3 linked regions of the Drosophila melanogaster genome follow. Changing the gene in region 1 together with any one later gene gives a genetic interaction. Each region holds a gene or a part of one and is shown in the gene's direction. Other genes may lie near its edges.

Region 1 (4,613 bases):
TTAAAATTCTCAAGAAGGATCAGACTCCTGCCTTCAGTTTGGATATCGCACAGTTTGCGATACTTGAACGACAGGCATTTTTGGTTGAAATTGAATTTGATTTACTGGAGAACTGTTTTCCTAAAATCACTTGTAGTTGGGGTCTGAGAACTTTGTACTTCTAAGTCTATACGCATATATATTTATAAAAACCTATATTAACGGAATATTAAACACGTGAAAACGGAATACCAACCAATAACAAAACACTAAGTTAGTCTATTGTTCCAAGATCCAGAGCGCAAATTGTTATTGTAAAGTAATAAACTGTTTTCAAATCTGTAAGAACAAACAATATTTATAACAGTCGAAAAGACGTCTGATAAAATGTTGCTGACTGACTGGATTAAGTCGAAGCATTGTCATAGTCACCAATAAAATATTTTTGAAATTTTAACATATATTCCAGTCAGTCAGTATAGTTTTAACCAGTGTGTCAGTCATGCTGCAATACAAAAAGTTCGATTCTGTTAGGGGAAGGCATTTATTTAGTTAACCTGTGTTAAATGCATTTGAATATTCCTTCAAATTTCTTGCTGCTTTTTGGTAACTTAACAAAGCCACAGAAAGTCCTTGAACGTAACAAAAAAAAAAAAAAAAAAGAACGTAAAATAATAATAACCAGAGAAAAATTAAATTATATTTATACTTGTAAGCGAACAGAACAGAAGAGATCGCATGTGAAAGAGCAAAACCGAGAAAATGAAAAGCAAAAGTCCTACTTGAAAAGTTAATTTAGTGTAAGCGAGGAAAATGTAACTGAAAATGAAATCGGAGCAGAAGCTGAAGGAGGATCGTGTGAATGGAGAGAAGGATCGATTGATACTGAACTCTAGCAGGAGAGAGAAATTGAAACGAACAAACTTGAAATTTCTGTCGGGTATACATACTAAATAATAACTAAGCAAGAACACTAAAGATTGAGAATGCTAAACAAAACCAACGGATAAATAAAACGTAACAAACGGAAAAGGATGGAAAGTATTGCAGTTGTATTTATTAGTCGGGCTAAATGGGAATTTATGAATACATCTAAAGGCATATTATAAAAACCGTAGCTTGATTATTCGATGTTTTTAAATGTCAATTACATTTTGATTTGAGTCAGTTTTCTCTTAAAATCAATAAACTAAACTAGGGTTGACGCAATAGTCGAAAAAATTCGAAGTGTATCCATGAAAAATTAAAGATAATGTTATAAGTTGCATTGCATTGAAAATCTAAAGAGAATAAACTTTTCCTAGAAAGCTATATCAAGATTCTTTTAATTCAAATTATGTGTTTTAAACGTTTGAATTTAATTTTTTTTTGAACAACCAAAAATTAGTGTTCACAATCATGGAGTTTTTAAGCACTGGCTTACTAAGCTAAGTTAACCACCCAACCAGTCCGTGTCGCGCACCCATCATATTGCATTAGCCGAGTTTCTTACCAAACTAGCGCTGCCAACGCGTTCGTAAGTACTAAGCATTTATTATCAATATCGATACGTCTATCGGTATGCTGCCAAGTAGGGTATGTTTAAACGACCGACAAGCGGTCACACGAGTGCAAGTTGGATTCCAATTCGATCCGTCGCGGTGCGTGGAAAAAATGCACAGATGTAGATAAATCAGCAAGCAACGCTAGCAGATCAGATAGAGCTATATCGTCGCGAAAACCGATTAATTTGCCATGTTCAGCGGATCAGCCTGCGGATCAATTAAACCGTAAAAAACAGAGCAGGCGAGCGTAAGCAAGAGAGAGAGGTGAAGCCAGAGGCGGAGGCGCAAGACAAAGTGCATTTTCAGGGCGTGTTTTTGAGACCCCCCTCGCCAGTTAAGCTCACCCAGCCTCCCAGCCGTCGACAAGAAGTTTGCCGACACAACATTTTACCAACATGCTGCAAATTCGCAATTGCACCTGAGCGGCCACTAGAACAACAAATCAGATAAATCGCAAACTTCCTTTTTCCTCCGTGCGTGTGTACTTCTGTGTGTGCGTGAGTGTCTCCAATCTTTTTTGTCTACTCCAAAAACGCAGAAAGAGAAAGAAAAATGTGTGCGTGTGTGTGTGTGAAATAAATTAAAGCAAAGCAAAAGGCAAAACGGCAAATAATTGAGCAAAAGGCCAAGAGAGAAGAGTTAAAGCTGAAGTATATAACAAGAAAAGCAAAGCAAATAATAAGTAGTAGTAGTAAGCGAATAAGCCGTAGCAGCAGGAGCCGAGAGAAGAGAGAGAAAAGTGTACAAGTTGTTGTTGCTGCGCAAGAGCGAAAAACCACCCAACCACCCACTGGCAAATGGGGGCTCAGCAGGGCAAGGACAGGGGCGCCCACTCGGGAGGAGGCGGCTCGGGGGCCCCCGTCAGCTGCATCGGCCTCTCCAGCAGCCCAGTGGCCTCCGTTTCCCCCCACTGCATCTCCAGTTCCAGCGGCGTCAGCAGCGCCCCCCTCGGCGGGGGCTCCACGCTCCGTGGCTCCCGCATCAAGTCCTCGTCCTCCGGCGTGGCCAGTGGCAGCGGATCGGGCGGAGGCGGTGGCGGATCCGGATCGGGGCTGAGCCAGCGTAGTGGCGGACACAAGGATGCACGCTGCAATCCCACCGTGGGTCTCAACATATTCACCGAGCATAACGGTAAGTTCCTGCAAGTGTTGGAAAACAGGCATCGAAAGCATGCTAAGTACACAGAGCAAAAAGCATATTTTCAAAATTTGAAAGCCTTGTTAAGTCAAATTAAACGAAAAACGTCTGTACATAGTGCACGCTCAATCAAAATCGTTTTTATAAAATTAGGTGTGCACTAAAATTTTGTTTTCTATTCGAAGTTATTTAGTGGTTTGATCATTTTGTGTTTCGATTTCTGTAAGCTTGACTTATTTCTCATTGGTGTTTCTTCTTTTACATTGGATCTTAGAATTATTTTCTTGCACATTGTAGTTTGAGTTAAAAAGGCATCAATCGTAGAAATCATCTGGACCAAATCGATCTGTATAAGTGTTGTGTAACATACATATAAAAGTCAGAGGATGCACAAACATGCATACATTTGGAGGTCCCATTCACTTACACACTAATTGTAAAAAATTGCATGCAGCCTCCAAACTCAGGTGTAAATTCCATCATAGTATTGTGACTTTTCTTATTATACATGGAAATTGTTGTTGCTGTATTGCCAATTGCTCAGAGTTGTGTTATCTCACATCCACCACAATCATTTCAATTCGTGATGAAATCTTTTGATATTCCATACAACAGTTTTTAAGGACATTCAAGAAATCAGTAACTAAAAACTTATTCAATGGGGGTACTTTCAATAAAAAAATGCTTTTTTAAGCGTGCTCTTGCCATTAAATCTCTTTTGTAAATATCATGTAAGTTTTGATTTATCTGCCAGTTTGGGCTGCACAGTGTTGTATTTATTGTTCATAAAGTGCAGTCCACTCGGCTTTCCCTTTCCCCCTCTCTCCTTCTTTATGATCCCCGCCCTTCCTCTATATACGCTGCTTTCCAATTGAGCCAATTTCTTTTTTCCTCCATTTCTTCCGATTATATAGGAAATTATTGTTGTTATTGCCGGCTAGTTTCATACTTGTTGTTGCTTTTCCGCTGCTTTTGTTTACTGGAGAGAAGGAGAATGAATGAGAAAGAAAAGTGAAGGAGAGAAGAGAAAAGAGAGAGAGCAGCACGCGTTGCTGTTGTTTTTGTGCTGCTTGGGGCGGTTTCAATCCGCATTCGTGCTCTCCATCATCCTTTATCCTTCGGCCTTCCTCGTGGCACCCTTATCCCTGCCACCCGCACAGTGGTTGAAATTGCGACCCACAACACCGTTATCCCACCCCCGCTGACATATTGCCATTTCCTCCACTTTTCCGCATTTCCCCTTGCATTTTTCCTGCCCTTCACGCACTCACGCACATTTTTATTTGCCTCATTTTTTTGTCTAATACTTTTCCATTATTTGCCCTGCCAAGCTGCATAATTTTTTCTTTACATCCTCCCCGTTTCCGCATTTTCCGCACACCCACTTATTGGGAGACATTTGCCGTTTCTAATAGCTTTTTTATGTCCATGTCGACGAAGTCCTACCACAATAGGACCCACAATCGGGTGGCATTCGGGATTTTCTCAAGACTACCGGAAAAACATTTGTCAGGTTATAATAGTTACGCAGACTCAGTGGTAGAACTTTTTTTTTAACAAAAAGCATAACTATGTATGAGAATACATGACGAGGGTCGTATTAATAGTAAGGTAGTTTTTTAACTTGAAATCGTGTTGCCTTATTCCCCTGACAATTGCAAGCCATTTTCGCAACAGCTGTTTCAAACTGAAAGTGGACTTTTCCGAGTTTTGATATTTACACGCGCGACAATCTGTTCCTAAATGTATTAAATCCATAAATTTGCTTAAGTTCGAAAATTGAAATTTAATCCTTTATTATTTTACTTTTTAACTTTTGATGTAAATACTTCCTTTTGCAAACTATTCATCTCCCAAACGAATGGCTTGGCCAAAGTATTGATTTTTCCTTGGCACTCCAAGCTGAGCCACTTTTCCCAGATGATTTACAATAAGCTGTAGATTTTTCTTCTT
Region 2 (5,480 bases), on another chromosome or scaffold:
ATTCAGACTTAGTCCTCTGCGGTGGGACGCGTGAGGCGCTTGGCGCCTCGGTTTGGTGGCCCCTTGGGCTTGGCAAAAGCCGGTCGGTGTAGAATCTTCTTTGGGTGCAGCTCGTCCTGCAAGAAGGCTTCGGTCAGCTCGCTGCCGCTGTCGATTTCAAGCTGAAATGTAAAACGTTGTTAGAAACATGAATCAGATTTAGTATGATTTAAAATTACTCATTATTTATGATTTACAGATTTCTATTTCAAGTGAAAAGTGAGACATTCGCCCTAATTATGATTCAAAATATTTCTAGAGATCGTGAATCAAAAGTATAGTGAATGTGGCGATTTGAAAGCAATAAATAAATCACAAACAATATATACCCTGCTTTTGCTTTTTATAGCCCTAATCTTTAGTGCTATTAGCGCAGCCACACCCACTCGCATTCATATCAACTCACCTTCTTAACAACCTCCACGCCAAGGGCCGCGAGCTCGTCGAGAAAAGGAGCCTTACAGCTTGAGTACATCATGCGCTCGCGCACGGAGCAGGAATATCCAGGCATGGAGTAGACGAACACGTACGACTCAAAGTAGTCGCCCTCGTGCGTGTGCCGAAACAGGAAGAGGTGGTATCGTGCATGATCCTCGGGCACTTGCTTCGGCAGATCGGCGAGCTCCACTTTGGCCGCACGCGAAACATGGATCTGTTCCTCCTCCAGATCGATGCGGAACTGAAGGTAGTCGTGCTTGCCGCGCACCAAATCCTGAACGGCAGCCACGGTTGCCTCGCTCAGCGGGCAATTGATCCCACCCAGAGTTTGGTGCCGCGTATTCGTATTGATCTCAGTGTGAACCTCTGTCTTTCGCAGCTCTTTCAGCTCCTCCTCCCTGCTGGTCAATGGAGCTGGGGCTGCGAAATCCTGCTTGTGCCGGCGATAGCCCTCCAGCGTGCACTCATCCAGAGTGGTGGCATGCAGCTCCTCTGTGATGTATGCTGATCCGAACTCCGTTTTCAACGTGGCCTTCGTGGAAGCGTATACCATCTTCTGTCGGATGCTGGCCGTGTCCGGCGTCCAGCTGATAAGTAGCCAACTGTAGCCCAGCGGGATCTTGGCGTCCAGGCGATAGAGAATATAGCAGGGCACATCCTTTTCCAGTAGGGGACCTATAAGCTTGTCGTAGTCGCGCTCCCAATCCTTTTTCGTCTCCGCCGTGGCGCCGCAACTAAGCTGCTCTGTAATTTGGGGCGGGGTGAAAACGGATGCGGGTTCGTTATCAAATCGTATGCCTAGTATATATCTTGTGTATATACGTTTCTGGATTAAATCCACTCACCATTCTCGATCGAAACTTTTATCACGCGAAATTTACCATTCTTCGCTTTGCCGAACACCTTGGCCAGCTGCTCGTTGGCTGAAAATACAAAGGGTGTTCTAAGGATGCGGATTAGGTGGTTCCCAAAGATAACAAACCTCGGATACCCGTTTGGTGAGACATTTGGACAACAGCTAAAATTAATATTGCCGAAAAAATATATTACTCACAACCAGTGTGACCGCAAAGCGCGAGTAGGGAAATACTAAACCGGGAAATATGTACCGATTCTGATTGGCAATCACTTCAAAGCGGCTTTAAATGTGTAAAAAAAAAAGAATTATTAATTAAAAAGATACTGTAATGCTATTTTTATAACTAAATTTTGGGAAAATTTTTAACACTCTGTTTTATAGAACATACATTTCAAAAATAATACCAAATGTGTCTGCACTGATACAGTGTTGAAAAATTCTTCAAGCTCCAGTACTTTGCAGCACAGGCCAGCGTTCTTTCTTTTTTCACGGAAAATGTAATGAAAAACTGCATTTAACTGCATTTAAAACGTAGCAACTAGCCCGGAAAAGCATCTGTTGTGCAATCGCATAGTCAATAAAGTGAGTGCACGCGAGATTCGTCCGATTAAACCGCTCCAGCGATCAACTGGAGCAGCTGGGCGTCGACGTCGGCAGAGGCCAGCCCACGCCCCAAATGTTTACGGGCGTGAAAAGTGCGGAAAAGCGAGGAATTTAATTGGGTTTTCGTTTCCCGTTTGCCCGCAGCATCCACACCCATGTTGACCGAAACCCCCATGGCCAGCGAGAACATCATGGACGAACTAGCCTCTCTGATACGCACCGAGATCCCCGATGGCCGCCAGAGTCTGCGGGACAGCTACACGAACCTGGAGCGGGTGGCCGACTACTGCGAGGACACCTACTACCGCGCGGACAACAAGAAGGCGGCCCTGGAGGCCACCAAGAACTACACCACCCAGTCGCTGGCCAGCGTGGCCTACCAGATTAACACGCTCGCCTATAGCTACATGCAGCTCCTCGAGCTTCAGGCCCAGCAGCTCGGCGAGATGGAGTCCCAGATGAACCACATCGCCCAGACGGTGCATATCCACAAGGAGAAGGTGGCCAGGAGGTAAGAACAACAAATTGCTTAAACTAGAATAGGAAAAGGGGATATGCATATTTTAAAACGACAAAGAATACGGAATGAACATTTTTGTCTGTAAGTACGACTCATCGGTGATAAAAGCTTCATAGAGAAGAAATGTACATTCATACATGCGTCGTCAGACGTGCTGATAAGACTGAACGTCTCTTTCTTCATTCTTTTCCTACATAACTATTTAGTTTTTTCAATTCACTTTATTTGTATTAATTATTTTTGATTATCTTCATTGTCTTTTCTCAGAGAGATTGGCGTGCTTACGGCTAACAAGGTGAGCTCGCGCCAGTTTAAGATCGTGGCGCCCATCAATCCGGAGAAGCCCATCAAGTATGTGCGCAAGCCCATCGACTACTCGATGTTGGACGAGATTGGCCACGGCATTAACTCGGCCCAGCACTCGCAGGTGCGACAGAAACATCGGGGCTCCAGCCATGGGTCCGTGCAATCCTTATTGCCGCCGTCGGTGGGACCTCCGCCAACCACGAAGCCCCCAACTCCGCCGCAGATGTCGCGAGCTGGGAACACTGGCACACTGGGCAAGTCGGTCAGCAATACCGGGACACTGGGCAAGAGTTCGCGGGAGTACCGCACTCCGCCTGTGGTCAATCCACCACAGGTGCCATCGCACTACGCTCCCAACTATCCTATTGGGCATCCAAAGCGAATGTCGACGGCTTCTTCAACGATGACTACCACCACCACAGGCGGCGGAGCGGCGGGCAATGAACGAGCTGCTGGCTACAGTGCACTTCCGATGCCACCCAGCCAGCAGATAGCCACACATGTAAACCTGCCCTCCGCGGGCATGATGCAATCGCTGCCACCACCGCCGCCCACTACGTACGACGATCGCAGCAGCATGCCACGTGAGTTAATTTGATTATTCTGCAATAGCTCAATACTAATAATGCGGTTTGCAATTCGTAGCAGCTCCTCCTTCACCACTTACGGTTTCGCAGCACGAGATGACCGAGCAGAGTCACATTGGCATGCACACTTTGGGACGCAATATCAACAGGTAAGTTTCTGGAAAATGCAATCCCTTCTTTGTGTAAATATAACCTATTTATTGTTCTCTGTGCAAATCCAGGAATCCAAATAGGTAAATTGCATGTTTCTCTGTTTATCATAGGGTTATACTCAGCTAAAAAAAGTTATACTAGGTTTTCGTGTTTGTACTGTGTATAACTCCATGAAATTCATATGTTATCTTGTATATTAAACGCGTATTTTTCCAAAGGAATCACTTCAGCTTGAACTTCGCTCGTCCCGGCTCACAGTCGCCTCCCTTGCCACCTCCGCCGCCGCCGGAGGATGAGCATCAAGACTTCGGACGACCACGCACATCGACGGGACCGCAGCTGGCGCCCATAGTGCCCGAGGATCAGAACTTACCCGGCTGGGTGCCCAAGAACTTCATTGAGAAGGGTAGGCTGATTGGAGCAACTAACAATATACCTTACTAATTCTTACAAACATTCCAGTGGTAGCCATTTACGACTACTATGCCGACAAGGACGACGAGCTGAGCTTCCAGGAAAGCTCAGTGCTGTACGTGCTCAAGAAAAACGACGACGGCTGGTGGGAGGGCGTCATGGATGGTGTTACCGGTCTGTTTCCGGGCAACTACGTAGAGCCTTGTGTCTAAGCCTCGCATCGATATTCTAAACATGCCAACCATTACAATAATCTGCATCATCTGGTCTGTTCCAGTCCTCTGCTGCTTCTCAAGAGCTCCAAAAAATTTCAATTCAGTTATCGGAGAGTTAGACTGAGGACCGCAACAGACTCAGCTGACAATGACGATAAGATTTTGAGCATATTAATAAGGACAATTATACAATTACACACCTACACAAGCACAGCAGGCCAGAGAAAGCGAATTCCATTAGCATCAGCCAACCGCATTTAGTCTAATATAAACGAGCACACAAACACACAGAATCCACGGGCTAGGGATACCGCTTGCTGCCCAACTAAAACTATTTACACTTTAGTAGCCGAAAACGATGCAAGAAGGGGAAAGTGAAACCGGATACCCGTGAATAACTTATGCGATATTATAAAACTGTTCCACAACCGTAGACGAATTCTGTCCTGCTCCTGCCGCCAATCCAAATACTTTAAATATTTGCTCACAGTTTTATCAAGCGATTTCTGTTTGCCTTGCGCTTTGATATGCCCGGCTATTATACACCAATACTACCCGAACCTATGCCCCCAGCAATACTGTAGGTTATATAAATTTCAGTTAGCATTTAATACTTAAGTATTGGCCAGTTGGAACTTTTGTTTATACTTTTACGAACCGCAACGATGTCTTTTTTTTGCGAACGTTTAGTTAAAATGGAATTGCCAGCAAAGGAATCAAATTAAATTAAACAATACAAGTACACATACGCTCTATATGGTAAAAATAATAGCTAATAAAAATTTCAATTACTAAACCGCAAGCCCTTGTTCTATGACCGTGTAATTTGCGCTGACCTTCTCGTGAGTCGAGCCCCGGATGTCAGTAAAAATCCGTAATTGGGGCAAGGCTCTGTGGCCTGCCAAATTCAAATTCGAAATCTCAAATGCAAATTTCAAGTCGTGTGATGGAAGGCTTGAAATATTTGCAAATGCCAACACTCATTGGGGTCATTCAGTCAGTCAATCAATCCATTATAATCGACACTTTGCTCTACAAACCGATTTCAATTCAATGTCTCGTCCCGGAAAACTTTTCCATAACTCGGCTCCGGGTAAATTAATGCTTTCGTGGTGATATGTGGAAGGTTTTTTACCCATTTGCTAAATTTATTATCAGGTTTCGAGGAGTTGACGTGGCGGAAATGCCAGAAAAAAGTGGAGTGCTGGCATGATTTGCATAAAATGTGCTAAATTGTTGCCCACTTTTTGGGCCCCTCAACTATACATACATAAATATGGAAATACCTTTATTTGTGAACAATTATTGGAGTGGACCTGAACAGCTTGAAGACGGACTCTTTGAAC
Region 3 (5,026 bases), 120 kb from region 1:
TTAGTGGTGCAGAGAACAGAACTCCCTCGAATTTCTTGAAGTCTTCGTTTTCGGTTTCCACACGTTTCCGGTTCAAATTTAAATTAAACTTGTTAATTATTCCATCCGAAGAACAACCCACACAAGACAGGAACATGTGTTCACTACTCCACTTCCTTTCCTTGGGCGTCCCACATTTTGCGGGTTTCCTCGTTACCATTTGCGATCATGATAATGATCCGATGCGATCATTTTGATCCTTCCCCTTCGACGTGACGGGCATGCGTCAAACTCAAATACGTATGTAACTCGAGCCAACCTTCACTTTTATTTTCTAGTTTCCTACCATATTTATTCCTTTTTTTCGGTAGCAGATGTCGCCTAACATCATGTCTAATGAAATGCTTCAGTAGCTCCACAATGAAATAGGGAACCCTCATAGTTCGGGGCGTGAAAGTTGTTGACATGTGGGTAGGAATTCCGTGGGGTAATACCTTTGGAAGAACAGGGGAATCGACTTCTAATACATTTCTAGCACGTGTCGTCATGGCTTCTGTTCTAATAATTCAACCGACACAAGTTCAATATAAATATTAAACTATGTACATACATAGGTATACAATGAAAATATTGAAATATTGAAAAATATTTACCAAACACTTTAGTTAAATGGGTAGCCTAATTGTCTGAAGACATATCTCCTACATTAGTTGATTACTCATAAATCATAAGCGTAACATTTTTATAAAATAGAGCACATACTATATAGTAATTGAAAGTATAATACTGGGGGAGTGCCCTTTATTAAATAAACTGCAACAACGTATGTTTTTCTCATAACTGTGGATGAATCATTCTGTTGATTTGCGTATCGCTCAAAATAAATGCATTAAAATCTTCTTTATAGTTTTCATTGCGCAAAAGTTGATTGAAAGAATCATTATATTTTGTCTTTCTTACCAAATAAGTGAATTTTCTCAGGGGTAGGGATATGAAACCCTATGCGAAAAGGGGTGTTGGGTTGGAGGTAGCCAAGGGTAAGGGTTTGTGCTGTAATGACGCATCAGGACGTGGAATTTCCCTACATATGCCAGATGTTCCCATCGGCATAAACTGCGCTTCAACACTTGCCGCCAGTTGATAAGCATTTGAAAACGAGTTTCAAAAACCGAAATCAAAACCTTTACTCAAACAAAAGTGCCATATCAACAAACTTCTTTCCCTTCCCCTTGCCAGCTTCCCTCTCTTTTTAAGAAAAATTAATAACAAAGAAATATAGGGAGATCGGCATCTACTTCTATTTGAAGCATGTACAACTCAGAAATTTTTAATAACTTTAAGTTTTATATTTATAAAGAGCTGTAGACTACGTAATACCTCTACTTTGGGTTTTGGGTGTTGACTTGAACAATTTATAACAATTTTACCCTATGTTCTCCTACATGTTCTATAAAGTATCTGATCTGATCATAATATCTGAGGTGTCTTGTTTCACTAACAATAAACGCTTTACCAAAACTACAATACCTTTTTCATAAAATCACCATCGAACATTTTGCACTTACTGTACAGGAAAACAAAGCCGCTACTTTTACTGCTGCTTTCCAGCCACCCCTATGATTTATAAATTTACAATGCCGGCTGCTTCCAGTTCCAGTGCACAGTGGTCCAGTTCGAACTAAATCATAAACATGAATTATGATCATGTCTAATAAGTTTAATTAAATTACTTATAAAATATTACAACAATTCGTTGTGTAGGTGTTTTCAATGCTAATCACTGTTGCTTGACATAATTTGTATACTATTATAAACTTACAAGTTATATCTTAAATTATGTTTTTTCTTTTTTTCAAGAGAGAAACATGTTCTCGCCGAAAACACGTTCCACTTCCAGTTCCCCGAATAAAAACAAATCCAAGAAAATTAACATTAACAGTTGCTGTTAAGACTCTGTTAACCGTTTCGAAGCCGCATGAATTGCATGACATCGAAACGGCGTCAGTCAGTTTTGTTCTGTTTTGGAAGCCGCACGCGTTTTCCCTCGCTCCGGTTGTGCTCGCTTTCGCATCGCACACACACACACACTCTCGCCGCACAGACGCGACCAAAAGAAAACAAAATCAAATTCGGCGCAAACAAGGAATAACTTTTTATATTCCTATTGTGCATCGTATGTTGTATTAAGTGCAAGAAATATATTTACACAAATCTAACAAAAACACCGCAACTACTTTTGTGCATTTTGTTTTGCTCTGTGCCGAAGGAGCGGAGAAAAGAAAAAACCGCAACAAATCAAAAAATCTGTGCGTTTGTTATACACACCTAAGTGTCCTGCAGGAAGGACATCGGGTTCATTTACGCCACCCGCTGTTTTCAAGGACCAACGGATTATTCCCAATTGCCACATTTCAACAAGTTCGAAAAAAGCAACACACATTTTACACAGTGTTTGCGAGAATTGAAAAAGGTAAGATTACAAATTCGTGTGAAGGACCTCGGGGATTTGTAGAAGAGGAAGAGCAGTTGAAAACAAATCGATGAATTGTAAATGAAGTCAAATTTGTCTGCCAACTTTAATAATTTAACAAGTGAATATGGACACTTCAAACTTGAAAGATTAAAATGTGATTATAATTGAATAAAACAATTTACATGCATATTTATTTAGTTTTATACAAATGTAAAGATTTTGGCCAAAAAGTTTATTGAAAAACGCTAATGCCGTAGCAATTGAAATCTGAGTTATTTGTGAAAAGTAGAAGATAAAAGATATAAGAGCTTAATTTGAAAACTTTTAAAATATGTCGGTATCCGATCTTGACGGCTCTAAATTAATTTATAATCCTCCACAATCCATAATTACCGAGGAAACATCTTACCAAAACAATTTAAATGGCGTCTCGAAAAACATTTCATTCCGAGCTCTTAATAAGATTAATGGGGCTTCACGATTCATTGATATAATCCCTCCGTAACGAAGCACACCCACCCCATCGTCATCATCATCTTACGCGTCTTGAGGTCTAATGGCTCGTGTCAATGATCAGACGGACTCTTTCCCTCAATAATTCCCATTTTCCATCCTTTCTAATGGCTTGTGTCGCGGCTCCGTATGAAAAACATAACCATTTGACATAAATCACGGCCCTGACAAATCCTTTTGAACATTTCATAAACATAATGTGTGTTAATCCTCAGATATTTCAATCCATCAACATCCAGAGTTTGGTGGATGGAGTTGCCCCAAAAATAGCGCGACCCCTTTGGTATCATTTGTATGCACAGTCAGACGCCGGCTTGAATAAATCCCCAAATAGTCATTCCGTAAACAAATGCAAAGGAAATTGTTGAAGGGATACGGATACCGGGAAAAAGGGCAATAATTCAATGATGAATTAATAGGCGCATGGAAATGATCACGAATTCCCGGGATCTTCAGAGAAAGTTCGAGTTGGCAGCTGCTGCTCTTCGATTCGCTCCAGAAAAAGAAAAAAAGACTTCCGGGGAATCGAGCAACTAAAAAGTGAGAAAAGCATCAACAAAGCCAAACAGAGGCACAACAAATGGGGTAGGAAAACGTGAAGATGCCACGCTGACGCAACATTTGCATTCGGAAAGAGATTTATGGAGGCAACTCCCCCGCCCATTGACTTTTCGCTCCAACTTCCCTCATTGTTTTGCCAAGTTTTCAAAAGACAAGAGCCGACATGATGATGTTGATGTGTGTGCCTCAGTATCTCATTTTCCCAATTTACCCCAAAATGTGTGTAATCAAAAGTTTTCGTCTTTACAATTCAATTTTAAATTGTTGTTCCTATGTAAGTGTTGCCTGCTTTCCACTCGAAAAGTAAACAACAATTAAGGAAAAACACAACAAGGCAAATGCAACAAGAATACAAAGCACGATTTTCAACACTTTTTCTCGCTCTCAATGATAAACAAAACTCGGCTATTTACATCTGGAGTTCATGGTCAAACAGTTTAAACAAAAATGGAGTTTTCATTTAGGAAATTGTAAATCCATCAGCAATAAGAACTTGAGAGTCAAGTGCTGCGATACGATCCCAAAACTCGAATCCCCTCAAGAGCTGCTGACAATTGACTAATGAGGGTTACAAGAAACCCCAGCGCAAATCATAAATATTTGTTGTTGACAATTCCAATGGCCCTGCAAGGAGCCTGGCTTCAAGGAATTCTCAGGGTTCTTATCGCGGAGGAAATCTTCGCTTATCTGCCTGAAAAAGGCAACGTGGTGCTAGAAAATATTGTGCAATAAAATGGAATGATATAGTGGAAGGACAGCCATGAGTTGTGAGGAAGGCAGTGTATGCAGACTTAACAGATACCCAGTACTTCCATTTAAGAAACAACTAATTGCATACATAATATTGGTTAAATGCACCAGGAACTTCGTGGTTCAATGCACTCAGTTAATGTTATAACATTCTCCAACAAATATTCTTGAATATAAGATATAAGATGTGTCTACCTCATCAAATCCAAGAGTACGCGGTATGCACAAACATTGAACCAACCAACGCAACTCAGGGCTATCCTATCCCATATCTTCAAGAGTTGTTTGCCCCTCGAGAGTAATTACAAATTCATAAAAATGGCCTGTTTGAAGTGGAAATCTCGTTCCGATTTTGTTTGCTCTTCCCACTCCAAACTCCATTTATTCCATTTTTGTTGTGCCAATCCCCTTGTCCTGGAACTAGGCGCCTTCCGCTGATCCTTTGAGGTTTGTGGGACTCTGTGCCCCTTTACCAGTTTCCGCTCTCTACCTGCCCCAGGAGATTGTTATCCATCAAAATAAAATGAGGGGAGACGACTGTGAATTCGCATCGCACGTGTATAAACCTTTGAGTCTTGCGGTTTCTGGTTTCTGCCCCTTTTGTACTGGAAATAAATTCAGTCTTATATTTCTTATGAATTATTATAGTATGTCCTCAAGTAGTTCTTAACAAACAAGTTTGTATATTTTTAAAGGTTTTCAACATTTGTTGCAACTTGCGATCTATCTTACCTATGTTTCTTCTTTATT

What was found. Genes that interact genetically often act in the same process or in processes that back each other up.
Region 2: of Abl (region 1) and Abi, changing one suppresses a phenotype caused by changing the other (phenotypic suppression), as found in Drosophila melanogaster (2 studies listed by BioGRID).
Region 3: of Abl (region 1) and Nrt, changing one enhances a phenotype caused by changing the other (phenotypic enhancement), as found in Drosophila melanogaster (2 studies listed by BioGRID).

What each region holds. Positions count from the first base shown.
Region 1 is NT_037436.4:16,644,851-16,649,463, reverse strand, and holds the start of Abl (Abl tyrosine kinase), read left to right. Parts: upstream 1-1,581; 5' UTR 1,582-2,320; coding exon 2,321-2,654; intron 2,655-4,613. UniProt on the Drosophila melanogaster protein: Arm and Abl proteins function cooperatively at adherens junctions in both the CNS and epidermis; critical for embryonic epithelial morphogenesis regulating cell shape changes and cell migration.
Region 2 is NT_033777.3:14,118,716-14,124,195, reverse strand, and holds Abi (abelson interacting protein), read left to right. Parts: upstream 1-1,775; 5' UTR 1,776-1,918; intron 1,919-1,946; exon of another isoform or gene 1,947-2,083; 5' UTR 2,084-2,094; coding exon 2,095-2,450; intron 2,451-2,726; coding exon 2,727-3,349; intron 3,350-3,410; coding exon 3,411-3,501; intron 3,502-3,573; coding exon 3,574-3,585; intron 3,586-3,723; coding exon 3,724-3,911; intron 3,912-3,967; coding exon 3,968-4,131; 3' UTR 4,132-4,934; downstream 4,935-5,480. Other genes in the region: twf (twinfilin), read right to left, coding at 9-161, 446-1,221, 1,323-1,400, 1,460-1,484.
Region 3 is NT_037436.4:16,764,092-16,769,117, forward strand, and holds the start of Nrt (neurotactin), read left to right. Parts: upstream 1-1,980; 5' UTR 1,981-2,449; intron 2,450-5,026. UniProt on the Drosophila melanogaster protein: May mediate or modulate cell adhesion between embryonic cells during development.